Linked DNA regions of Callithrix jacchus. The protein of the gene in region 2 interacts with the protein of the main gene of each other region in a pairwise test. Links are inferred from orthologs where the notes say so. Each region holds a gene or a part of one and is shown on either strand. Other genes may lie near its edges. The genes, in order: NIBAN1, FHL2, CSN2, ITGA7, GNG12, RAI2 and NRF1.

Evidence for each region.
Region 1: the proteins of FHL2 (region 2) and NIBAN1 interact in binary tests that used the Homo sapiens proteins (3 or more experiments, as listed by UniProt). The two-hybrid records come from large-scale screens. The link is inferred for Callithrix jacchus from reciprocal best matches to the Homo sapiens genes FHL2 and NIBAN1.
Region 3: the proteins of FHL2 (region 2) and CSN2 interact in binary tests that used the Homo sapiens proteins (3 or more experiments, as listed by UniProt). The two-hybrid records come from large-scale screens. The link is inferred for Callithrix jacchus from reciprocal best matches to the Homo sapiens genes FHL2 and CSN2.
Region 4: the proteins of FHL2 (region 2) and ITGA7 interact in a two-hybrid assay, tested with the Homo sapiens proteins (2 studies listed by BioGRID and IntAct). The link is inferred for Callithrix jacchus from reciprocal best matches to the Homo sapiens genes FHL2 and ITGA7.
Region 5: the proteins of FHL2 (region 2) and GNG12 interact in binary tests that used the Homo sapiens proteins (3 or more experiments, as listed by UniProt). The link is inferred for Callithrix jacchus from reciprocal best matches to the Homo sapiens genes FHL2 and GNG12.
Region 6: the proteins of FHL2 (region 2) and RAI2 interact in binary tests that used the Homo sapiens proteins (3 or more experiments, as listed by UniProt). The two-hybrid records come from large-scale screens. The link is inferred for Callithrix jacchus from reciprocal best matches to the Homo sapiens genes FHL2 and RAI2.
Region 7: the proteins of FHL2 (region 2) and NRF1 interact in binary tests that used the Homo sapiens proteins (3 or more experiments, as listed by UniProt). The two-hybrid records come from large-scale screens. The link is inferred for Callithrix jacchus from reciprocal best matches to the Homo sapiens genes FHL2 and NRF1.

The regions. Positions count from the first base shown.
Region 1 is NC_133519.1:42,960,976-42,964,475, reverse strand, and holds part of NIBAN1 (protein Niban 1), read left to right. Parts: intron 1-1,251; coding exon 1,252-1,413; intron 1,414-3,500. UniProt on the Homo sapiens protein: Regulates phosphorylation of a number of proteins involved in translation regulation including EIF2A, EIF4EBP1 and RPS6KB1. May be involved in the endoplasmic reticulum stress response.
Region 2 is NC_133515.1:15,512,195-15,516,175, reverse strand, and holds the start of FHL2 (four and a half LIM domains protein 2), read left to right. Parts: upstream 1-1,181; 5' UTR 1,182-1,296; intron 1,297-3,981. UniProt on the Homo sapiens protein: May function as a molecular transmitter linking various signaling pathways to transcriptional regulation. Negatively regulates the transcriptional repressor E4F1 and may function in cell growth.
Region 3 is NC_133504.1:128,109,302-128,111,942, forward strand, and holds the end of CSN2 (beta-casein), read left to right. Parts: intron 1-155; coding exon 156-728; intron 729-2,135; coding exon 2,136-2,141; downstream 2,142-2,641. UniProt on the Homo sapiens protein: Important role in determination of the surface properties of the casein micelles.
Region 4 is NC_133510.1:63,955,956-63,959,455, reverse strand, and holds part of ITGA7 (integrin alpha-7), read right to left. Parts: coding exon 3,274-3,500; exon of another isoform or gene 2,953-3,273; intron 2,782-2,952; coding exon 2,650-2,781; intron 2,388-2,649; coding exon 2,268-2,387; intron 1,323-2,267; coding exon 1,115-1,322; intron 988-1,114; coding exon 794-987; intron 438-793; coding exon 349-437; intron 229-348; coding exon 101-228; intron 1-100. UniProt on the Homo sapiens protein: Integrin alpha-7/beta-1 is the primary laminin receptor on skeletal myoblasts and adult myofibers.
Region 5 is NC_133508.1:105,060,266-105,064,494, reverse strand, and holds the start of GNG12 (guanine nucleotide-binding protein G(I)/G(S)/G(O) subunit gamma-12), read left to right. Parts: upstream 1-1,429; 5' UTR 1,430-1,545; intron 1,546-1,762; exon of another isoform or gene 1,763-3,105; intron 3,106-4,229. UniProt on the Homo sapiens protein: Guanine nucleotide-binding proteins (G proteins) are involved as a modulator or transducer in various transmembrane signaling systems.
Region 6 is NC_133524.1:18,515,301-18,519,397, forward strand, and holds the start of RAI2 (retinoic acid-induced protein 2), read left to right. Parts: upstream 1-1,297; 5' UTR 1,298-1,501; intron 1,502-1,696; exon of another isoform or gene 1,697-2,093; intron 2,094-4,097.
Region 7 is NC_133512.1:117,548,523-117,552,022, forward strand, and holds part of NRF1 (nuclear respiratory factor 1), read right to left. Parts: intron 2,093-3,500; exon of another isoform or gene 2,090-2,092; coding exon 1,861-2,089; intron 1-1,860. UniProt on the Homo sapiens protein: Transcription factor that activates the expression of the EIF2S1 (EIF2-alpha) gene. Links the transcriptional modulation of key metabolic genes to cellular growth and development.

The DNA.
Region 1 (3,500 bases), on a different chromosome or scaffold from region 2:
GAAATCGGACTGTTAAGAAATTCTTACCTTTTGGCCAGCATGCCAGGCTTTTGGGTTTCCTTTCCCTGGTGGCCCTAGTGACCCAGCTTGCTGCACCATTGTGCTGGGGGCCAAGCTGCATTGTAAAGAAAAATTAATTTTTTCTTTCTGGCCAGAGCAAAATTCGTGTTATAAAACATAGACATTAGCCACTCTGCTTAGCACCCAATATCCAACTGGCAAGGCTTAAATTTGCCCTCAGATGGCTCCCCTCATCTTTAGTCAAACCTCTTACTAGGAGTTTCAATACATGGGCTCTGGGCAAGATGGTTGCCCTGAGTAACAGAAAAGATAGGAAAAGAAGAAAAAGGAAACTATTGTCTGTGGCAGAGTCGGACAGTGCATCCTGTATAATTCATATGCACCCTGCCTCATTCCCCAGTTCTCTCTCGAGCCTCCATGTTCAGAACCTTTCTCTCTGCCTCCTTCCACCCCACCCACTCCACTGTTTATTTTAAACCTCTAATATTCCCTTTAAAAATGATTTTAAGGTAAGTTTGGAAAACAGAGTGCATTCTGTTGTGACGACATCTGTTGATAGCACTTTAGGGCTTTAGCAGATGAGGTCTGATCCTGGAAGCCCAATGACCTCATCAATTGAGTGCAAACTAGAGTAGGAGGGACCCCAGTTTTTCAAACTGGATACTTCTCCCAGGTCAGGCCTCTGCCTATCCACTTCCCATCCACTAGCACCTGAAGCAACCTGTAGCAGAGGGAAGCCCTGTGGGCCCTGGCAGAGCCTCACAGAACTGTGACGAACTCTGGCTTCCCTTCCAAAGTCCAGGAGTCCAGGGAGCATCCCGACCTCCCTGGGGTTTTTTAAGAGGAGCGTCACTCATTAAAGAAGGTTTTGGAAGCCTGAGAGCCCAGCAGCAACCATGTGTCAGAGTCTGCCTGCCTGGTTCTTAAGCTCTGGAAGTGGGAGCTTAGAGTCTATCAATAGCTTACAAAGACTGGAGTCCCCCTGGGTGCTCCCCTGGGTCTTCCTATCATCCAGTTGGTGTTTCTGCTGGTTTCTGTCCTAGCATTACAGCTGCCCTAGGAACCGGAGGAAAATAAGCCAATTGAAGGTGTCACAGATGTAGGGATCTGAGTAGTGATTCACTTTATCAACATGCATTTGATTGTTTAGAATGTATGTAACATGCAATATGCATGCAATACCACTTCTAAATCTGAGGGTGTTTAATGTTTCCTTTCACCAAACTGCAGCATCTAGACCAGCTTATGAATCTTCCGCTGCATTCCATGAAGATGGAACCTTGTTATACTAAAGTCAACCTGCTTCATGAGCACCTGCAGGATCTCAAGAGCCGCTTCAGATTCCCCCACGTTGATCTGGTGGTTCAGAGGACACAGAACTACATGCAGGAGGTGAGTGTGGCAGGGGCATCCGTGGTGATTAGGTGAGTGTGGCAGGGGCATCCGTGGTGATTAGGGTAGAGAGAGAGCAGAGAAATGGGTGCTGGCCTGTGAGACCAGCTGCTAGCATAGCTCAGGGAAATACATCGCATCTCTTTAGCCGTCATGTTGAGGGAGGACAGGTTCTGTCCTCCACTGGCTTCATCTTCCTTCCATGTGGATGAACATCATAGAGAAGACATAGCTCAGAAAAATAAAGTAGCATTAATTGATAACTACTTGATTTGTCACATTAGTGCTTTAACCTTGGCTCATATTGGAATCACCTGAGGGAAATACTGATGTCTAGGCTCCATCCCCAGTGATTCTGATTCTATACATACCATGTATGTGTGTGTGTGTGTGTGTGTGTGTGTGCATGTGTGTGTACTTTGTTATTGTTGAGATGGAGTCTCACTCTGTCACCCAGGCTGGAGTGCAGTGGTGTGATCTTGGCTCACTGCAACCTTTGCCTCCTAGGTTCAAGTGATTGTCCTACCTCAGCCTCCCGAGTAGCTGGAACTACAGGCATGTGCCACCACACCCGGCTAATTTTTGTATTTTTAGTAGAGATGAGGTTTCACTGTGTTACCAGGCTGGTCTCAAACTCCTGACCTCAAGCGATCTGCCTGCCTCAGCCTCCCAAAGTGCTGGGATTATAGGCGTGAGCCACCATGCCCAGCCTATATGGCTACTTTGTGATAGAACTTCCCTACCCTGATTCCTGCTGCTTCTAATATGCAGCCAGGAATGAGAACCACTGGCTTAAATTAATTCCCTGACGTAATTAACAGTAAACCAATCAATCAAACAATCAGTTACAGCTTCATATTTTAATTTCTTGTGTCTACTTGACAAGTTTCTTTTTATTTTTTTCATAAGGAAACTTTTCCCCAGGAACAGGAATGAATAGCACAAACTCCTTCCATATTATGGTGTTTCCTAAATGAACCAGGGTGTGTTCATGAAAGTGCTAAAGGCCATGCCATTTCACACAGATACTCTAACCAGAGCTTACTGTGGGCCGGACGTGTACCAGATCCCACTTCAGGGAGCTTGAGTGAGGCATATTCTTAGATAAATTCACTACAGTGTTGAAAGTGTGATAAAGGTATGTATTGTGGCCAGGCACAGTGGCTCACGCTTGTAATCCCAGCATTTTGGGAGACCGAGGAGGGTGGATCACTTGAAGTCAGGAGTTTAAGACCAGCCTGGACAGGGTGGCGAAATCCCATGTCTACGAAAAATACAAAAAAATTAGCCAGGTATGGTGGTGTGTGCCTGTAGTCCCAGCTACTCGGAGGCTGAGGCTAAAGATTTGCTTGAACCCTGGAGGCAGAGGTTACAGTGAACCAAAATTGTGCCACTGCACTCCAGCCTGGGCGACAAAGCGAGACTATGTCTCAAAAAAAAAAAAAAAGTATATATTGGATGCTTTGAGATCTCAGGGGAAGAAAGGAACATTTTTTTTTCATAAAAATTACGGGCAGGATAAATGATACATTTTATCTAACCCTTGAGTTGTAAGGAATTAAAGAGGAACAAGGAACAAAATTGGGCAACAGTTTAGCAGAAATCTCTTTCGAAATACTGGACTCTGGTGACGGGAACACAGGCAAAGGTGCCGAGAATAAGATACCTGAACTAATTCTGCTTTCTGACCCATGAGCGTGTCAGCCACTGTCCCCAGCCATCCCTGACCTGCCCCTCTTCCCAGCACTGCAGAGAGAGGAAGGGATGTGCTGCAGAGTGGTTACATCCACTTAAAAGTGGAGGCGCAGCCAAAAACGAGTTGAAGAAGGCTCCCGCCTCATCCCTTAATCAGTGGCTGCAGGTATCAAAGAACAGAAGTGCCCACGGAGGTGACAGAATGCTTGTTCAGTCCCGTGGTTTGGGGTTTTCCAACTTCTTCCTGCTCCCACTGTGGCCATGTAACTTTTTGTTTCACAGCCCTGGTGGTGGGGTGATGTTGCCCTGGATCACCCCTGGAGGAGCCGCCGAGAGGACTCCTCTGTGATGGCCGCTGCTCTCCAGGTCCACGTAGCCAGGCCTGCGGGCGG
Region 2 (3,981 bases):
GGTTCAAGCAATTCTCCTGCCTCAGCCTCCCGAACAGCTGGGATTACAGGCATGCGCCACCATGCCCAGCTAATTTTTGTATTTTCCATAGAGACGGGGTTTTACCATGTTGACCAGGATGGTCTCGATGTCTTGACATCGGCCTTGGCTTCCCAAAGTGCTGGGATTACAGGTGTGATCCACCTCGCCCAGCCCATATACTATTTCTCATTTATTCAGTCCCCTCTTCTGAGCTATTTACGTTGTTTCCAACTTTTCCTAATTTTGAGAAAAAAAAAAAAAAGAGCTTCAAGAAATGTCCTCTGCCCATATACACTATTCTTTCCTCAGGATAAATCTGCAGGCCTAGAATTGTTTTGGTAATGCAGACAGCTCTCACCAAATAATCCTCGGAAGAAGTTGGCCCTCGCCATGGGCGAGTGCCTTTTCAGCATACTCGTAAGTAAGAAATTTCAAAAGAATCAGGAGCTGTTGATATCCCAAATTAGTTTTCTTTCCTCTCCCAGCATATGGCTTTTAAAAGGCTCTGGGAATTTCACTGTTTTAATTTCATAGAGAAAACAATGTGTGGCTCGAGAAACCCTTATAATCATGCATGAGCAGGGAGGAAGGGAGGGAGAGAAATTTCTGCAAATGTATTTCACCCATGGCTTCCCAAATGCCTGCCATTTATTGAGCCTATTGTTCGGGCTTCCCTAACATCCTCTCACCCAAGCAAATGAACTCATAAGCCAAAGAGAAGGTCAGTGAGCTCTTTCCGGAAGGCAGCACTAGGAATCCACATTTCCCAGCTCACAGAGGGGCTGTGGGGCCTGGGGGAAGTGTCCCTCCACTCCTGGGCCTCCATGCCAGGCACCTAATCTGAGGGGTGGACAGAAGTGCAGCTGGGCAGCCTGTTGGAGGTTCTACCTCTTGTTTGCCAAAGTAAGGTCCCTTTCTGGCACTGGTGGCCTTTCCACTTCAGCTACCCTTTGGGTTGCTGGAAAATGTGAGGTCTGAGGTGACCTTGAGGCAGGCAGGACAAATGAGGACATGGCAGCCCTTTCCCTTCTGGGAGCCGAGGCTCCTTTAATGTGGAGGCCTTAAAAGGCATGTAGGAATCAGGGACTGGGTTCTTATCTCCTGAGCCTGGCCAATGTCCAGATGCACCTTATTTATAGCACCACTGACAAGGGCAGCACAGCTGGCTGGCAGCTGCAGAGAAGGTTGGGGCCATCTAACCAGGCCATCTGCCTGCACGGCTGCTGTCCCTGCTCATCGGGCTGGAGGACAGAAGACAGAACCCTGACACTGCAGGTAAGGACCACTGGTTCCCCATGCCCTTCTCTTACCCTTGCCATCCTTCCCAGCCTAACTCTGCAGCAGGCTTGGACAGCAGTTGTGTAGGCATCTTGCTCCATGCACAGGGAGCGTCCCAGGCCTGGGAGGAAGCTCTCAGGCACTGGGAGCTCACTGACCCCAGCAGAAATGCAGGTGGTGCTGGCTGCTGGCTCCTACCAATGGCAAAGCCCAGGAACGGAAGCCACCCTGCCCAAAGATACAGGGTCCTTGGCTTGAAGATAGAGAACCCTGCTCATTGGGAATGAGGAGAGGTTTAAATGAAATTGAGCCCCTGCCTCCACTCAGTGGGAATCCATTTTGAACACCAGAAAACATTTTTTAAGGGGAAAGCAAAAGAAGAAATATTATAAACATTGGAAACGGGGAAAACCACAGTGCACTTGAACTTTTTCTCCCTGACAGAATTTCCGGAAAGCCTGGGCTGAAATGGCAAATTACTGATGAGTCTGATTACTCTGGGAAAGTGTGTTTATACAACATGACTCTTAGTGGCTGATGGTTTGAAAGTCCAGAGAGCTGTTGCATGCTTTAAAAAGGAAATGCATGAATATTTTACAATTTCCAGAGCAGGGCAAACTCTAGGATGTACAGTCCTGAGTAACGCCCTGGCCAATTGTGTAATAATCTCAATACTGATAGGGTGACATATATATGATAATAGACATCATCTATATAAATATCTTCTAGCCAGACTCCATGCAAGACACTTTATCAAGTCTAATCTAAAAAGAAAAGAAAAAGTTGTCAGTCCAGTTTTTGTTTCTAAATTATTCTGAAGTCCGAAGAGTGTTAATAAATACCTGCATTACAGGTTAACGCTGTTGTAGCTCATATTTGCTGTATGTAAGTTTATTTTCATTGTTTTATTTGTTTCTTGAAGAATATTATTTGAATTTTATTTTATTGCTAGGCTTTTACAATTTTATTGATACATGAATAGAATTTACATATGTATGGGGTACATGTGAGTAGTTCAGTACATACACAGAATGTGTAATGATCAAATCAGGGTTTTGGGGTATCCAGGATGGGCTGGAATAAGGTTTATTATATGTTGAGATCATTCTGACCCAAGTTTTTATATTTAATTGAGTAGCTGACTAATCGACTCAAATGATTACATTTTGGAGGCTTTTTCTTATATTAAAAATATTTTAAAATATAACTTCCATGAAAAGTTGCATATTTTCCAACACAGGGTTCCCAGACTGCTCACCCATCACCTGTCTTTTAGAACATTTCTTACTTTTAAGTCTCATTGTTCTATTTAGAGCTTCCAGAGTTCTCCATTGATTTCAGATCCCCGAGGCTAGGCCAAGCCATGCCTCTCACTGCATTCCCATGACCTGAAGCACAGGGATGGACACACTTTCCACTGATCTCTAAAATATTTCATATTTACAATACATGGCCCAGAGACTGATTTTAATTCATTCTCTCTCCACCAAAGAATGAGTTAAAATTATATTGAGTGCTTACATTTTCTTTTTTTACTCTACAAATAATCTACGTTTACTATAAAAAATACAGACCAGCAACAAGAAGAAAATGGAAAATTATATATACTCTTATTACTCAAAAGATAACTATTCTTGCAATTTATTGTTGATTTTAATTATTTATTGATTCTAAGGTATCTTTGACTGAAAGACGTAAACCATTCACTTCATAGATTTTTTTTTTAATCCCACTATGAGATATTTTAAGGTGAATCCAAAAACATTAAGTTATTTGGGAAACTGTAAATTATAATTAACAGAAACATATATACATCAATCAAATTACTTGGTAATCTGCTTTCTGTCCAATTTATGGTCAATGCCTCTTACAGCTGTTTCAAAATCTAATTCCTTGAAAATTGGTTATCTCTATATATCGTTATGACCCATTTTGGTTAGTCAATATATTAAAATATTCATAATAGTTGGATGGATGAAGAGTCAAAGGGCATAAAGATTTAGATAAGATATTTTGTTAGAATATAGCGATATAACATCAGTTCAAAGTATGATCTGGTAATTGATTTCTACACTAGTACTGGTCCCTTTCGAATCATGAAAAATTCAACCATCTTGTGCCTTGATCTACATGCCCCCCCATGCCTTACAAATCTGGTTTACTGATTTTTTTTTATTCCATTGATTTATCAGCACCTCCTCACTTAGTCTCTAATACACTAAAATATGGATGAAAAACAGAAAAGAACCAACATAAGTGCTGAGTAATTTAATGTGTTACAATTTGGGATTTTATTTGAATTTAATGGATACATTTTAGATAGGGAAAAGAGGAATAAAAATTCATTTTAACACAGGACTTTTGTTGCGGTTAAAGAGCAATGCTGAAAAATTAAGCTGAACTAAAACCATCTGAAGCCAACAATTCATAAAACATACTTGATGTGTTTTATTAAGGGGGAGCATACAATTAGGTATTAAGAGGAAAGTGCAAGAATTTCATTCTGCTCTTTTATTATTATTTTATGACTTTTTTTTTTTTCCGAGACAGAGTCTTGCTCTGTCACCCAGACTGGAGTGCAGTGGCACAATCTCAGCTCACTGCAACCTCTGCCTCCCGGGTTTAAGTGATTCTCCTGCCTCAGCCTCCCAAGTAGCTGGAACTACAGGCATGTACCACCAC
Region 3 (2,641 bases), on a different chromosome or scaffold from region 2:
ATGACTCAAGATAATTTCTTAATCAAAATAAGTGAAAGATTTTCTTCCTCCCTTTTTACTCACTTATCACTGTCTAAAAGAGAGAAATCACTTCATTATGAATGGCAATTATAGCTGAATCAAGGACTTCAACGATTCTTTTTCCTTCTTTCCAGGAGGAACACCAGGATAAAATCCATTCGTCTTTGCAGCCACAGCCTCTAATCTATCCATACGTTGAGCCTATCCCCTACCCTTTCCTTCCACAAAACATTCTGCCTCTTGCTCAGCCTGCTGTGGTGCTGCCTGTCCCTCATCCTGAAATAATGCAAGTCTCTAAAGCTAAAGACACTGTCTATACTAAGGGCAGAATGATGCCCATCCTTAAATCTCCAACGATGCCCGTTTTTGACCCTCAACTCCTGAAACTCACTGCTCCTGAAAACCTGCATCTTCCTCTGCCTCTGTTCCAGCCCTTGATGCACCAGGTCCCTCAGCCTATTCCTCAAACTCTTGCGCTCCCTCCTCAGACTCTTGCGCTTCCTCCTCAGACTCTTGCGCTCCCTACTCAGCCCCTGTGGCCTGTTTCTCAGCCCAAAGTCCAGCCCATCCCTCAGCAAGTGGTGCCCTACCCTCAGAGAGATATGCCTGATGCAGCCTTTTTGGTCAATCAAGAACTTTTACTGGACCCCACCCGCCAGATCTACCCTGTGACTCAGCCAATTGTCCCAGTTCATAAGCCCATTAGTGTAAGTCCAAATTTACTGACTTTGCTGTTTCATTTAAGATGTGTATGTGATGGTAGAATGAAAGAATAAATGTACAGTAAATGAATTTTAAAAAAAGTTTAGTTAAGTGATCCTTAATGCTTACCTATGCAATAGAATCTCCTGGAGAAATATTCCCTTGCAAAACCCAATGCCAATGCCTACCCAGAGATTTTTTTTTTTTAATGAGGGATTGTGATTGACGTATATGCCATATTTCCATGTATATAATGTGTACCTAACTTAACAGTAATTTGAAAATTATATATACATTGACATATAAATATACATATATGTATGTAACTTTGCTAAATTGTGCTTTTTGTTTTGCTTATACTTTAATAAAGAAGTAGTGAAAGACAAATGGAAAACAAATTAAAATAGTGGTCTTTTAGGAGGAGGGAAAAAATAGAGATAGAAGAATGCTAGATTTCTCTGAATGTACCTAGTTTTGGAGTTTTGACTTTGAAACCATGTAAATGTGCCACATAATTAAAGAACACTTAAGTTACAAATCAATCCCAAAAAATAAAAGCAAACAAAAGAAAATAAACTTTAGTTATATTTCAAGTTAGCTTCATAACCACACAAAAATGAAGAATTTCAAGTTACTTCAAAACATAATATTTCACTCTAATCTTTAGAGGGATATCCTCTAAGACAAGAAGAGTATCAAAGTAATCTGAAACGACATTTAGTATTCTTATAATTTATGTGGGCATGTGTATACATGCCTTTGTATGTATACATAGATACATAGATACACACATTAGGATAAAGCGAATAAATAGTATAAGAAAACGAAAAGATATACATATAAAATCAGGCTAGGTGTCATGGCTCACACCTCTTTTTTTTTTTTGAAAGAAAAAAAGGAGAGAAGGAGAGGAAGAAAGCGGAAGAAAAAAGAGAGAGAGAACAGGAATATTGCTTTATTCTAAAAACAGTTATTAATAATGGCCGATCAATATTTTGTGTATTTAAAGTGGAGAGCTCTATAAATATTTATGATTCTTGATATGATTGTTCTGGTTTTCTGTGTAGAGGAAACTGAGTGTTGGGTGGGGGGGAGGGGAAACTATTGTATGAATTCTGATTTAATTAGTCTGTTGAGAATTCTCATTTAGATAAAGTAATTAAAGCTTACAAAAGCTGGAATTAAATTTAATAATATTATTGAATTTGGAACAAAAATGCTAAAAAATGTTCTATCATTTCCCATGTGCACATCTTTTTCACACATGCTTTACTTCACATTGTGTTTTTGCTATAAGTATATATAAAGTCAAAAGATTGAGATGCTTATTTCTCTACTTACAACATTCTTAAGCAAGTTTTCTTACCAGGAAGTTAATTATTGACTTATCTGTATTTGTTTATTTTTTTAAGGTCTAAGAGGATTTCAAAAATAATGTTCCCTCCTCATTTTTGGTAAGTTTTGGGAGTTTGGAGATTAAATTGATCATTTTTACACATGATGTCTTTTTACATTTAATTATCCTAAAGAAGTCCAAGACAGTAAAAATTCCATACATACAAGAAATTTTTCAAATTAATTATCAACTTATTTTCAATGGTTGACTATCACTTACTGAACTGAAATTATCTTTTGCATTTCAAATAACTTTAATTTTATTTATGTACAACTGACAGACTTGACTGGCTTGCTTTCAAGGGCCTGTATACTTACATTTGATTATCATTATTTTTAGGAAAAACAGAATATATGTCTTATTTTATTTTTATAGAAATACATTTGCATTTTGTCAAAAACCTACTTGCAATTTTATTTCTAACCTCGCTTTTATAAACTTTGTATTTACTTAAAATTGTCTTTTAATTCATGAGTCAAAATTACTCCAAGTGTACAGGTTAAAAAGAGGAGAGAATAGCAT
Region 4 (3,500 bases), on a different chromosome or scaffold from region 2:
GGAAACACTCTTAAGCATCAGATTTGGCCCTGGGGTGGGGGTCAGAGTCACAGGGAGGGGCTCACGGCCTCAGGGAGGGAGAAGGTGCTGAGGGGTTCACCTGAAGAGCACGGCAGAGTCAGCCAGGGAGCCCACCAGCAGGTCAGGGTATTGGTTCCCATCCATATCCAAGTTGCCTGACAGGGAGTAGCCGAAGCTCTTGATGCCCACAGCCTCACCCTCCAGCACCTAGAGAACCGGCTGTCAGCCTCCCCCAATCCCACCTCCCACAGGCCTCTGCCTCCCCTGGTGCCTCTGCTGCCCTGATTCCACCCACACACCCACTCCCTCATCCCAGACTCCCTTCACCTGTGAAGGTTTGGCGACAATGCCCAGGCTGCTCCCATGGTAGATGAAGACTTTCCCATCCCCATCAAAGGGGGCACCCACTGCAATATCTGCAGGGCACAAAGAAAAGGCAGTCACGCTGGCTGGGAGTACAGACAAGGTCCAGGCCTCAACTCTCCCCCAGTCACTCAGGTCTGTTTTCTATTTTATTGGGAGGCTACAAAATCCCAGGCACTCTATAAACATCATCTTCAATCCTCTTGGCCACTCCCCGCAGATATTACTATCGCAAAAAGGTTAGGTAACTTGCCAAGGTCAGAAAGCTGGGAAATGGTAAAGCTCAGACCGAAGCCCAGGGACCCTCTCTCCCTGGGTCCTCAGAAGACCACACCCTGACCTCCGAGGGGCTCCCCCATCCCTCCTCGGGCCCCTCCCTCCCCTGAGCCTTTCCAGTTCCCAGTCACACCTGGAAAGCCATCTTGGTTGAGGTCCCCCAGGACAGCCACGCTGATCCCGAACATGGAGTCAGGGGAGCCACAGAGCCGGAGCGGGGAGATTCCGGTCCAATGGCCCCCCTGGTTCAAGTACACATACACGGCACCCCCCAGCTCTTCTTGGCGCTCAAAGAAGTAGGGGGCACCCACTATCAGGTCTGGCCAGCTATGGAGAGAGGGAAACATTCAGTGTGGGTCCTCCCTGGCCAGAGGAGCCGGCAGGAGGTGCCAAAGGCCACTCAAACCTCCTGGACCCAGCCTCCCTGAGGTGGCACAGCCCTGCACCCACTCACCCATCACTGTTGAGGTCAGCCACAGCCAGCGAGTAGCCGAAGCCAGAGGTCAGGCGCTCCCCAGACAGCACAGCCTCGGGCACCAGGCGACTGGCGCTGTCCTTGCGCAGGATGACCACGGCACCCCTGTGGTTGGCACGGGGAGCCCCAGCCACAAAGCTCAGCTCTTCTGCACGCACCAGACCTTTCCCCGAGTCGATAGAGAAACCTGGGGGAAGGGTGACTTACCCCTGAGTCTTCACCCCAAGCCTCAGAAGCTGGGGTGTGTCACAGCTTCCCTGGCCCCTGCTCCCTCCCCACAGGCTAAGAGCCAAGTCACAGTTCCCCTAGCCCCTGGCCCCTCCCCCAAGTTAAGAGCAGAAAGATAGTTTCCCCCCAAGTCATCAGCACCACAGCTGGATAGCTCTTCCTCCCCACAGGGCCTGGCAGCTCCTCATACCCACCAGGCCCAGAGACAAGCTTGGCACAAAAAGTGCAGTGAGGTCAGCCTCAGGGACCGCGCAGGAGAGAGAAAGGTGATGGCTGAGAAAGCCAGGAGCCCAGGCAGGAGGCTGAGCACAGCGGCCCCACCCTACCCACACCCAGGGAGCTAGAGGAGAGGGCCAGTCTCTCTCCAGCCCCAGTCCCACCCAGTGCACCTCTTTCCCCCCACTGCCTCATCCTGGCAGGGAGGGGAAGTCTTTGCATGGATGAGGGGGAGGCAAAGGGGAGTGAGAGAGAGCCTGCTTCACCCAAACATCTCCCAGGCCTGGTTTCCTCCTCCTCTGCAGAGGGACGCAGATGAGACAATGGTAAGTTACCAACAACACTGGCCCTTTCTTCAGTATGTGCCCACCACCCATCCCTCAGGGAAAGTTCCCTAGAAGGCAGGACTGTCCTTCCCAGGATATCCTCAGCCCTGGCCCTCTCACTCCACCTGGATCTTCTATGGAGACCCCTGGCTCACAGCCCCAGAGGCCATCACCCTTGGGGCCTCCTCTTCTTAGGCCTGGTCACTGGACCCAGCTCTTTTCTGCAATTTGGGCCCAATGTGTGTCTCCCTGCGTGTGTGTTGGGGAAGAGGAGATTTTAAGGCAGCAGAGGTCGAGTTCCCTGGGGAAGGAGGGGAGGCTGGGCCACGACCCTAGAGTCCAGGAGGTGGGAGCTTACAAACCTAAGTAGCTATTCAGGGCCAAGTCTCCGGCTGGTCCTGGGAGCCGGTCAGCAGGGTCCAAAGTTTTATACACCAGCTGGTCAGGGTCTGAGCTATCAATGTTGGTCACAAAAAGCAACCCTGTGGGGGGTGGGGGGAGACACCAGGGAGGGAACATCCAGAGAGGGGGCCACAGAGTAGGGAGACAGAGCCACAGAAAGGCCAGAAAAAGGTGAAAGAAGAAGAAGTAGAGAGAGAAAAGAAACCAGAGAGATCACAGCCAGACAGAAAGACAGACAGGGTGAGAGACAGAAACGGAGACAGAAGGATGGGAGCATGGAGAGGGAGGACAAGAGAGAGGAGCAGAGGATTAGAGTGGCTTTGGGCCGGGAGGGGTCCCTACCAAAGTAGCTGTTGGCAGGGACCGGGATGAGGCGGGGGTCCTGCTGCTTCTCACCCCCCGCCTCGTAGGGCCCGTCGTCCAGGTGTGCCAGGTCCGCTGAGCCCTGTGCACAGAGCTCCACCCTGGCTGTGCCTGCAAGGACAGTCCTGTTAGTGCCAGAGGCAGGGCACAGGGAGCACCCCTCAGGCTGGACGCTGAGTTAGACAGGCACACGGGGAAGCCCCTCCTCTTCTTTCCAGCCCTCTCTCCACCCCCTCCCCTACCCAGGCTTCCTGGGGTCCCCAGTCGTGGCATCACACTCACCGAGTGTCAGCTCAGCCAGCAGCAGCGTGCGGAGACGGGAATGGCAGTGATGAGGTGTGGGCTAGTGTGTTGGAGCATGCGGGCCCAGTGTGCACTTGGGGCTCATGCCAGCATGTTGAGGAACACTTGGCCATGCAAGGGAAAGGTGGTACCCCCCACATTCGCGTGTGCACTAGCTCAATGGGGTGGAAGGCATGGCAGTGCCCTGGGGCCATACAGCAGTGCACACGTGGTCATGCTTGGCCATGTGCTGTCCTCAGCCCTGTCTCTGAGGTGAGAGGAGGTTTTGGTCCCTTCTCCCCTCCCCGAGGAGTGACTCACCCTTCCAATTATAGGTTCCAGGGGCCCCAAAGAGGAGGTAGTGGCTATCAGGGGAGAAGGCGGCAGCTGTGCCCTGCTGGCAGAACCCAAATTGTTCATGGCCTTGGGGTCGCCCCTCACAGAACTTCCATTCCCCACCATCCAACTCATCCCGGATGGCCAGATCCTGGCTTAGCACAAAGCAGCGACCAATCATATCCCGTGTCTCCAGGATCTGGTCCACTCGC
Region 5 (4,229 bases), on a different chromosome or scaffold from region 2:
TCCCAGCAAGGGAAATTAGTGGTATGGCTTAGAAGAGTCTATTCTGTAGTCTGCAGCCAAAACACAAACTCCAGTATGCCACCCTCTCAGTCCCTGTAGTATCAAGCTGTTCTGTTTCAGGTGTATCCTTTGAACTGTGAATATATGTGAATCAGTCAAGCATGTCCCAATGCTCAATAGAACAGGAAATAAAGACCCCTCTGGCAGGCTGTGGCTTGCACCCCAACAACCACTGCCATCAGCAGCTTGCTAAGACCACAATCCTGGGGCAAGGCATGCATTCATACACTTACTCAACCTGTGACACCTCTTCTACATGTGCAAATGATTTCACTAAACCTGATACTTGCCTAGGGGTCAGAAGGAAAGCAAGAGGGAATATCATGCCCTGACTGCAGTCCTTCGTTCTTAGATTCCCCAGGGCCCACTTGTCCTTAGTTGGTGAAACTCAATACACAGACATCCCTCACCAATGCTTTCAGACTCCATTTCAAATGTGGACTCTGCCCACACTGGTTCTAAGTGACCTACTTTGGCCTCACCTCTTTTCTTTCCACCCTGTCAAACAAGAAAGCAGTTACCTAGGGATACTCTAGAAGTCCGCTGAATGGTTTTCTGCACATCCAGCTTCTTTACTCTTTCTGGACTCCAAGAGGGCAAGCCCCCTGTCTGATTCATTTTTATACCTCTCCCATCACCTTTAGCACTGAGCTTGGTACACAGCAGATGCTCGGTAATGTTTGTCAAATGACCCTAGCACGAAATCTATGGAAGTAGAAATGGCTCCTCCATTTACCCAACTTTGAACCCTGCCGGAAAAGACCAACCAAGTCCAATTAATTCATTAGGTAGAACTCTGCCAGGTACTGGACATTCGGAAACAAATTGCACGGGGGTGGGGCAGATGGACGGGAAGCTCATGGTAGGTGGATGTACCACAAACTCAACAATCGGCAGTTACACCTCCACTTTCTGGGAAACATCTCTCCGTGGCCCCAGGGCCCTTAAATGTTACTGTGAGTGTTTTCCTCTGAAGTTTCTGGAGCAAAGCCTAACTTTTGTGTAGGGGTTTGGCAGCGCTCGTCCTCGCGGCCCTGGGGACCGCTGGCACAGGGGCTGGCGAGGCGTTCGCACGCGAAGGAAACTTGCGAGGAGTCGGGGTGGCCCCGCGGAGGGCGGCTCGTAAAGTGGGGGCCCTCCGAGTCCTCGAACTTCAGGTCCTCCATGAGAATTCGGGGAAGGAGGACGACCAAGGACGGCCAGACGTCCACCGAGCTTCCCCAGGCCGGGCCTCGCCCCTCCTCCAGCTGGGCCACCACGCGGGCTCCGCGGCCCGGGTAGGCACAGCCAGGGCGTCTGGGCGGGAGGCAGGGCCGGGCGCGGAGGAAGGAGCCCGGGGCCGCCGCCGCCCCGCCCACCCCAGCGAGGCGGAGCCGGCGCCCGGAGGAGCGAGAGGAGGAGGAGGAGGAGAGGTCGGAGCCGTCTCCTGAAGCCCTTAGTGACCGAGTCCCGGCGGCTACGGCGGGGCAGCGCACCGGCAGACGGGTGAGCACCCAGCGGCAGGCGCGGGTGGCGAGTCGGGTCCCCGCGGGGTCGGGGCGCGGCGCGGGGCGTCGGCCAGCGAGTTCGGGGGCCGCCTCCGAGTCCCGGGTGCTGGGAAGCGAGATGGAGGGAGGGAGCGGAGGAAGGAAGGAAGGAGGGAAGAGTGTCCTGGAGGGCGGGGACTGGTCGGGGCGCTGGGCGCCGGAGACCGGGGGGAGGGGGAAGAAGGGGGCCAGGGGCACCCTGACCAGAGGCAGAAACAGCGCGCGCGCCCTCGACGAGCGGCCGCCCGAGGTCGCGGGAAGCCGGCGCCCCCATGGTTGGGGCTGGGGCTGGGGCTGGGGCTGGGGCTCGGGCTGGGGCTGGGGGTGGGTGGAAAAGCCTCCCCGCCAGCGAGCTCGCCTCTTCGGCAGCCTGCGGCTGTGTGCCCCGCGCCCAGTTGGGAGGCCCGAGTGTTCCCAGCCCTGGCTCGTTGTGGTGCCAGGCGCTGGAGGGCTGACATTTGGGGGCGACAGGGACGCCACGCCCCTTTGCCTACTTTCTACCTCTCGGGACTAGCCGGCGGGAGCGCAGCCTTGGAACCCGCTGGGCGCTGGGGGTCTAGCCGGGAAATAGCGGGTCGCAGAGGGAGTAGCCCACAGGACGCACCCCGCGAGGGACCCCAGAGCAGGGACCCGAGGCTGCCCTTCTGCAGACTGTTTTTGCAGGTGGTAAGGGGGAGGCTGAGGCTCAGTCTTGAGTGATTTTTTTCTTAAAAAAAAAAAAAAAAAAAAAATTATTGCCCGACAATTATCCCGTGGATCAGGGTGACTTCTGTTTTTCATTTTAATTAGGGTATATCAGTTAAAGCTAACTTTAAAACGCTGTCACTTAGCGCCTCCCGTCACCCACTCGTCCCTCGCTTTGCGTGTCCTGTAAACTTGGCTTAAATCATTCATAACTCACGATAAGGAAGCCGTGATTCTGGTTCAAGTCGCCGCGGTGGAGTGAAACTTTGCCTAAGTGGGAGTGAGTGGAGGCACTGCCGCGGCCGGTCATCTGGTGGTCATCCTGCCGGGCGTGGTTGTATACAAACAAGTGGATCGAGAAGGAAATCGCTCCACACCAGAGGTACAAGGGAGGTTCCTGCGCCCACGTGTCAGGACACGTTTAATGGCTGCTCCCAGCGGAAACAAACGGGAATTTATTAGACCTTGTGGAGTTGGACAAACTTCACATGATTAGCTTCCTTCCCATCAGTTACTTCCTCTCCCCCCTGCTGTCTTGGCCGACACAGTTTATATTTCCTGGGGCGGTTGTAGACTCGCCTGAATAGGCCGTCTATAATGAATCTTTTGGCTGTCGTCAGAGGCAGGGTCTGCGTCTGTGCCTTCTCTATTTTAAAAACGGAGTTTGGCTTTGTTTTTAAAAGTGCTAGTCACCAGACTGCACCCTTGCCAGCGCTTCTCAGCTCTCGAAGTAAATTATCGCAGGATGGCGGCCCTCACCTAGGAGAACCAGGAAGGCAGGAAGCGCTAGAACGACGGGATTGAATTTTACTGTTGCCAAAACAATCACATTCAAGTAAGGAGCTGTTATGTTTTTCTTTTTTTTTTTTTTTTTTTTGACCAAATTGTATGTACTAGCAAGCCCCTTTTCTAGTAAACTAACATGTGATTCACACACCCACACGCACAATTTTTAAAGTAATCGAACATTTTACAGAGACTTAAGTGATAAAAGGACTTTCAGATAAAATATTCAGTCCCTTTGCCTTCTCTAATAGTTAATCAGCGCCGTAAAGCCGTGGTTTACGTCCAAAAAATGCTGAACAGTCTACTGCGTGGTTAGACCTTATAAGTAAGGCAGTACTATTTTTGCTATATTTAACCCGCGTAATTTACTAGATATTGAACCCCCAATAGGGCACACAACACTTAGAATTGTATAGAAATATATGAAAATGTGAATCTGTGTTTCCCAAGAGCCTGAAAAAATGGTATTATAAAAATTTCCTGTCCAGAAAGCTCCAATCTTACTTGAAAAACTAGCTCTCTAACAATTAGATTTGTGGATTTGTTTTGTCACTTGTTAGAGAATATCTGTGGTTTGTTAAAAGTGTGAGAGCAAAGGGCTTCCTGGTTAAAAACCTGGAGGAAGTGGTTAGCCAATATCAAATCAGTTTTATTTTTAAATTATTGTTGAAACTTCACTCTCACAGGAAAAAAAAATTCAAATTTAGAAATACGTGATTTATTGTGTTTTGCTTTGTTTTAGAGCTTTATGTCAGCTTAATCTTAACCTAGGAAGGAGAGCTGTGAAAGTCAAGTAAATTTTTCTGAGCCCTAACTTGGAAGAGAAACTTGTTTAACAGTGATTTGGGGTGTTGGCTTTGGAGTCAGACAGACTTAGATGAGAATATTAGCTATTTAACCTTTTTCAGTCTGATTTATAAGATGGGGATAAAAATGGTCTCTAACTGTAGGGCTTTAAAGAAAGTATATGAAACAATCTTTGGAAAACACACTGAACTTAACACAGTACATGGTCAAAATTATTAGATATTTGTCTAGCGTATTCACGCAGCAGGCTACTGGATGGATTGCAAGGGGGCAGCTTGAACCTTCTGGAATTGCTAGGTAGAGCAGTCTCAAATTCCTTGGAAAGTAACTGGTGTGTGTGTGTATGTGTGATGTTTCTACCACAGC
Region 6 (4,097 bases), on a different chromosome or scaffold from region 2:
TTTCAAAAGAGGAGATTCAGTGTCAAGGAATGGTACTACTTACCAGGGCTGATTTCTCCTTTAGGCCTAGTAGACACAGTGCCTGGGGCTCACTGGACTTTTAAGGACCCACAGAAATCTTTTAATTTCTTTTAAAATAATAAGAAAAATGATTTTTTAGGTTGAAGAAACTGTTTTAATATAAATACTATTATATTCATCTTTACACTAATGCAATTGTAACATGTAATTTGTAATATCTTTCTACAGAGGAAGGAGTCCACAAAGGCACAAGTGCTCAAGACACTCATCATTCAGCCTCATTGACTACCACTTTATGCCTGCAACACAACAGGGTTAGAATAGAGCCTTTTGAACGCAAATTCAGGTTCCCATACCAATTATAAACTGTGTTATAAAACTCAGATTTGATAAGAGGAAAGTCGTGGTTAATACACACAGTATTAGAACTTCAGGGGGCTGGAGACTACCAAGAACAGACAGATTCATTCTGTTCTCTGCTCTGATTAAATAATTTCTGCTCTGCTATTCTCTCTCAAATATCTTCATCCTGTTTCGATTAATAGAAAAAATCTTTACATCTTTGGAGATTCATTAAACCAATTTGGTTGCTTCCTTCGCTGTCTCAAGAATTCTAAGGATTTATTGTTTTCAATTTTAAAATGGTCAATAGTACAACTGACACCTACCACTTATTTGCTGGTCAGCAATGATACAGTCACCGTCCCTGTAACTCCAGTTCTTAGCCCAGTGTCTGGCAAACACTAGGCGCTTAATAAAGGTTTAATAGATTGATACATGAATCACCTCTTGGATGGAAATTACCTTATGTAGGTGGACTAATTTGATCTTTTCTAATCTCCCACCTTGTAAGAAGCATCTTCCACCGGTATCACAATTGTAATTTTCGGGTGATCTCTGGGCTCTTCTTCCCACCTCCCCTGGCTCCATCAGCCAGTCACTTCCTCCCTCCTGGGCTCTGTTCCTCGCTCTTCTCTATCCTGGGGTCTGGAATGGTCCCCAGTCCGCCGGGAGGCAGTAGGGTCCCAGTTCCTCCAGCCGTCCCCGGCGCTCCCCACAAGGTCTCCCCGACACCCCTTCCTCCAGGCACCCCGCGCCGCCCAGGGCCACGCCCTCCCCGTGGGCGAGATCACCTGTCCCTCCTCCGCCGCCGCCTCCTCGGGTACCCTTTCGCCCCCCTCCTGCTCCCCTTCCTCCGCCGCCTCCCCCAAGCCCTCCCCTTCCCCGCCTCCTCCCACCCCTTGGTGTATATAGTAAAGGCCGGGCGCCGCACGCAGACACACACTCGCCCGGACACAGGCGCACACACGCTCACGCACAACCGGCAGCGGCGGCGGCGACAGCGGCTCGGTGACAGCGGCGACGGCGGCTCCCACCGCGGCGCACCCCCTTCAGGCGGCCGGCGGCGAGGCCAGACCCGAGAGTTCCCGCACCCGCGACCACCCCGCGGCTTCCTGGAGGCGGCGGCCGCGATTCCAAGGTAACGGCCGCGGCGCCCCCGTGCGGGCCGGGGTCACCCCCCCCCCCACTCCTCGCGCAGACCTGCCATCAGGACGTAGGGGGCGCGCCGGGCTGGGCGCGCCTGGCGGGGCCCGGCGCCCGGGGAGGGGCCTGCTCCCGGGGGCAGGACGGCGCCCGGAGGCCGGGGCCGGCGGGGAGGGCCGGGCGGGGGCGGGGACGCTGGCCGAGGCCGCCGCCCGTGTGGCGCGCCGGGGCTCCGCTCCCGTTCCCGGCGCCGCGCACTGCCCGGCGGGGCCAGGGACTGCCGGGGAGGCGGCGCCGGCCGGCGGGGCGGGGGCCCAGAAGTGGGTTTCGGGCCGCCGCCCGCACTGGCACCGGGCGCAGAGGGCGGTTCACGGCGGACTCCGAGCCCCGGCACCGCACCGGGCAGTCTCCGGATCTGCCGTTCTGTCCCGGCCGGGAAAACCCGGCGCCTTCCAGGCCCTTCGAAAGATGGATTCTGTTGACGTATCTGGCGGCCCTGGCGAGCCGGGTGGAAAGTTGGGTTTTGCCAGATCGCGCCGGGCTCCTCTTTGTGATGCGCGGCCAGCCCCGCATTCCCCCGGAGCCGGGTGAGTGTGCACCGACGCCCCGGGAGCCCCGGTGCCCCCCAATGCCCAGCCCCGGGGTGGCCGCACCAGCTCGGGCTTTCTGCCATGTTAGGCACAGAGCAACGTTCTCGTTGCATTTTTGCGTGCTTTTCAGTGGCGCCTTTTGCTGTGGAGGGAGTTACTGCTTCTCTCCGCGGTAGCTTTTTCGGGGTTGGGGTTGTGCTCTGTGTGTTTGTTTGTTTGTTTGCCATTTAAAGCCCGACTATTGTTCAGGATAAGCTCCGCCTGGGTGGGGAAATGGCATCCCACCACAGTTGCTGGCGAGGGGTAGAAATGTTGCCAAACAGCTGCTGCTTTGTGTTTCCCTATCAGAAGTCCCTGGAGTAGGTTTGGGGCAGGACGGATGGATGGAGAGAGGGATGGGGCACGGAAGAAGAGGGTGGCTTTGGAGAAGCCGATTGTCAGCGGCACCATGACACTCACTCAGCCTCCCTTTCTGCCTGCCAAACTTTTATGAATATTCCTTTTGTGGCAAAGGGAAGCTTAATGAATTTAGCCCAGTTTTCCAAGAAAAAGCAACCCAGCTCTAACAATGGTTTGAGAACTTAATCAATGAAAAAGGCAGGAGAGGAGGACAAGGAGGCGCCAATACCATATCGAGTATGTGGTTGCTGCTTGCAGAGTCAGGTAGGGGAGAGGTGGGCAGGGCACGGCGCAGCGTCTGGGTGACCATGTTCCAGGAATTGTTGGTAGCTCTCACCTGTGTCCGCTGGTGCCACCCACCGTCGTGCCCCTACATCCTGGGCTGCCCAGAACCTGGCGATGAGGTTTGAGGGGCAGCTTGCGGCAGTGCGCGGGCTGGCCCCCCTCATCTGGCGTTTTTAAGGATGTGTAAATATTTTGCTGAGGATAAGTGACATCAACAGAATGATATTCCGCAGAGCCCGGGTGTGCAGCGATGATAAATAGATATGGCCAAACAAAGTTTTGATAACCGCGTATTCTCATGGCTCTCTCTGTTTCATTTGGGTCTTTGTTTTTGTTGGTTTAGCATTATCTCGCATCCTCTGGTGTGATCCCTTTATTTAGCTGATTCTTGGAAGCTTCTCTTTAGAATAAAGAGAAAAGCAGCCAGCAGGGAGAAAACAATTCTTAGCCTTGCATGAGTCAGGCAAGGTTTTCTGTGCTTTTCCCAGGAAATCTTTCCCACCGTTTTCTAGATGTCTCTCTTGCTCCTTTGGAGTCCTCAGAATTGGTTGTTGGTGGACCGAGAGACTTGTGATAACTTTGAAAATGTGGTGTGGACATGCCTTTGTTACAGTAGAGGGGTGGCAAGGTGGGAGGGGGACAATGTGGAAGGGGACAGTATGGAGGCTAGTTTTCTTCTCAAACGGGAACTTGAGAAGCCAGGGGTGGGCTGGAAGGCAGAGAATCATAAGCTTGGTGGCATCCCAGTTTCCCTGCCCCTTACAAGCCCAGAGAAGCCACCTCCCCCACACCTCACATACACAGTCTCCTTCAAATGGGCACCCGCTTCTCGTCCTGACAGATGCCCACTAGAGGCATCCCCAGGGCAGCCCAGACACTGTGAACCAAGTCAGACTGGAACTTAGGAGTAGTGGCTACTTTGGCACCAGCCCAGGGGACCATTCAGCCACCCGAAGGGGTTCCTTTATGATGAAAAAAAGCCAAGACCTCCAGTGGTGACCTTCTGCCCAGGAAAACCAGTTCATCTGAGGAACATCTGAGCAAATGAAAAGACAGTTTTCCAAGTGATGCTGCTTGCTGGGGTGAAAACTAGGTTTGATAGGCAGTTAGGCAAGGACTGTAAGATACATTTCAAAATCTTGTATCCAGAATACAGAGTCCCTGAGACAGGACCATCTGAACTGCAAGAAAGAAAAATCAAAGACTGGAAGGTGTATGAGGAGCTGTTACTGGGAGTGCTCTAGCTGTAATGACCCAGAAGCTGAGGATAGGACTGGCCTCCCAAATCCATTGACCCAGAATGGAGATAGTCTGGAT
Region 7 (3,500 bases), on a different chromosome or scaffold from region 2:
ATGGGAGAGAATCTTCAAAAGAGTAGCTGTTAGATGAAATAGCTGAATTCTCAATAGTAACAGTGGAATGCAGAAGACAGTGGACCAGTACCTTCAACACGAGGAAAGAATAACCACCAAGCCAGAATTCCATACTCAGTGAAAACTTCAAGGTTGAAGTTTAAATAAAAATATTCATAGACAAGCAAAAACAGAATTTCCTACTAGCAGATCCATGCTAAAGCAAATACTAAGAGGTGTTTTTAGGCAGAAGAAAAACCATCTCAGGAGACCAGCTGGAGATGCAGGGGAAAAAAATTAACATTACATATAAAATAAAAATATTGTCTTGTGGTGTGTAAAATACAGTTGTCTTTTCAAATCCTCATGAGATTGGTTCCAGGATCTTGACTTTCCCCTCCCTTCCCCCAAGACCCCGTGGGCAAGGGTACCAAACTGTACAGATGCTCAAGTCCCTGAAATAAAATGGTGTAGTATTGCACATAACCTATGCATGTCTTTCCACACCACCTGTAGGTTAAGTACAATACCAAATACAATGTAAATGCTATATACATAGTTGCTATATTGTATTGGCCTTTTACTGGTATTATTTTTAATTGTTACATTGTTATTTTTTATTTTTTCCCTAATTTTTTTTATTCAAAATTGGTTGAATGTGCAGATGTGGAACCCACAGATAAAGAGGGCCAACTGTACACCAAAAATGAATACAAAGGACAACAATAGCATACATGGTGGGTGCATGAAATTCAAGTGTTCTAAGAAATTTGTATTACCCTGTAGAGGTTAAAAGTACCAAGTATATACAACTTTTTGCTTTTCCTTTTTAACTGGACACAGGCTCTCACTCGTCACCCAGGCTGTAGTGCAGTGGTATAATCATAGCTCACTGCACCCTCGAACCTCTGGGCTCAAGTGATCAGTCATCCCACCACAGCCTCTCAAGTACTTGGGACTCAGGAGCACATCACCACACCCAGCTAATTTTTTTTTTTTTTTGGTAGAGATGGGGTTTCACTACATTGCCCAAGCTGGTCTCAAACTCCTGGGCTCAAGTGATCCGCCCACCTTGGCCTCCCAAAGCGCTGGGATTACAGGCATGAGCCACTGAGCCCAGTCAACATAAAACATTGGTAAGTAAAGGATGTATGCTATAATTTCTACAGGTATCACTAATAGTAAAAGCTTATAACTTTCAAACTAACAAAAAAGAAAAAAAATACAAAATTTTCAATTACTACAAAAGAAAATGCCAAGAAAGAAAAAAGTAAACAAAACAGATAGGGTAAATAGAAAGTATATAGAAAAGAAGGTAAATTTAAATCTAAATATGTGTCAGCCATCCTGTTTAATGCAAATGGAATAAATGCTTTAGTTTAAAGCCAAAACACGGGCAGAACAGATGAAAAAATAAAACCAAAGCCATAACACTAATAGTAAGTGATCCCAGACCTCAAGTCTCAGTATAATACAGGCTCAAGTTATAACTGCAAGGCTCAAAAAAACTGTGATAAAAGCCAGGCATGGTAACTCACACCTGTAATCCTAGCACTTTAGGAGGCCAAGACAGAAGGATCACTTGAGCCCAGGAGTTTGAGGCCAGTCTGGGTAAAACAGTGAGATTTCTGTCTCTATAAAAAATACAAAAATTAGCCAGATGTCGTGGTACATGTCAGCAGTCCCAGCTACTCCAGAGACTGAGATGGGAGGATCACTGGAGCCCAGAAAATCGAGGCTGCAGTGAGTCACGATTGTGCCACTGCACTCTAGCCTGGGCAACAGAGTGAGACCCTGTCTCAAAAAACAAAACCAAAAAAATTAAAACTAAAGAAGAGCTTCTAATCCAAACAACATTACCTGCAGCAGCCAGATGAGCTGTTACCTCATCAGCTGCTGTGGAATTGAGTATATCTGAGTCATCGTAAGAGGTGTCCTCGGGAGAAGAAGGCGAGTCTTCATCAGCACTCAGCATACTGTGCTCAGTGTAAGTAGCCACATGGACCTGCTGCACCTGCTGGGCCACTGCGTGTGCTTCTATGGTAGCCATATGTTCAGTTTGGGTCACTCCGTGTTCCTCCATGAAGTTCTACTATAAGATGAAAAAGGAAAAGAACAGGAATCAGTGTGTAATATAACACAATGCTTAAAGATATTTTCTTCAAGAGCAGAGGAACCTTGACAAACTTTCCATTTTACTACTTATTGTGCCACACCAAGTCATAGGAAATGGGAAGCACTATTCAAATGTGACATAAAAATGGTCCAGTGGTGTTCCTTATATGAAACCATTTTGATGGAAATCGCTGTACTAATTTTATGCCTCAGATCACAAAATAACAGATACCCTTAATAATAAAAAGACATTCAAATATAATAATAAAAAGATATTTAAGATATCTCAGTGACTAGCATTTGACCTTGTGGGCATAAAAACACTTAGTAAATAATTGAAATACTTAACATTTTCTTTATATGTCAAAGACAAGTGAGGGTCAAACAACTTTCTTCCCAAAAATTCAAATTGGTTTTCTGCTTATAAAACTGTGCTTCTTGCAGGTATGGTGGCCCACGCCTGTAATCCCAGCACTTTGGGAGGTCCAGGTGGGTGGATCACCTGAGGTCAGAAGTTCAAGACCAGCCAGGCCAACATGGCTGGTGGTGGGCACCTGTGATCCCAGCTACTTGGGAGGCTGAAGGAGAATTGCTTGAACCCAGGAGTCGGAGGCTGCAGTCAGCCACGGTTGTGCCATTGCACTTCAGCCTGGGCAACAGAACCAGACTCTATCTAAAAAAAAAACATCAAGACTGTGCTTCTTGTAAACCTCAAAATGATAATTTATAAAGCAGTAAGAATAAAAGTTCGCTCTTCTATCACACTTATAATCTCTACTCCCCCTCACCCCAGAAGTTCATTATTTTTGAAAAATAAATTTCGAGCATACATACATAGATTTAAAATAAAAACAAGTTCATACTATATATATTGTTTGTCCTTTTCATATTACAATATATCTGGACATTGTTACATGTCAAAACATACAGATCTACCATATCTTTTTAAACAGCTGCATAATACTTTATTATATGCATGTGTCGTAATTTATATGCCAGTTGCCTGCTGATCAAATGTTTCCAAGTTTTTGCTATTATAAAACAAACATCAATGCAGTATAAAAATGTGTCCTTGTATATACAATTTTACATATTAATTCCTAAAAAAAATAAAAAATAGAACTACCACATGATCCAGCTATTTCACTGCTGGATATATACACCAAGAAACTGAAAGCAGGGTGGGTCTTGAATAGACATCTGTACGCCCATGTTCATAGCAGCTTTATTCACAAAAGCCAAAATGTGGAAGCAACCCAAGTAACCATCGATGAATACATGGGTAAAAAAATGTGGTATACACATACTGCCTATTATTCAGTCTTAAAGAAGAAAATGCTAATTAGAAAGAGGGGACCTTTCTCGACCTGATAAAGAACAGCCTC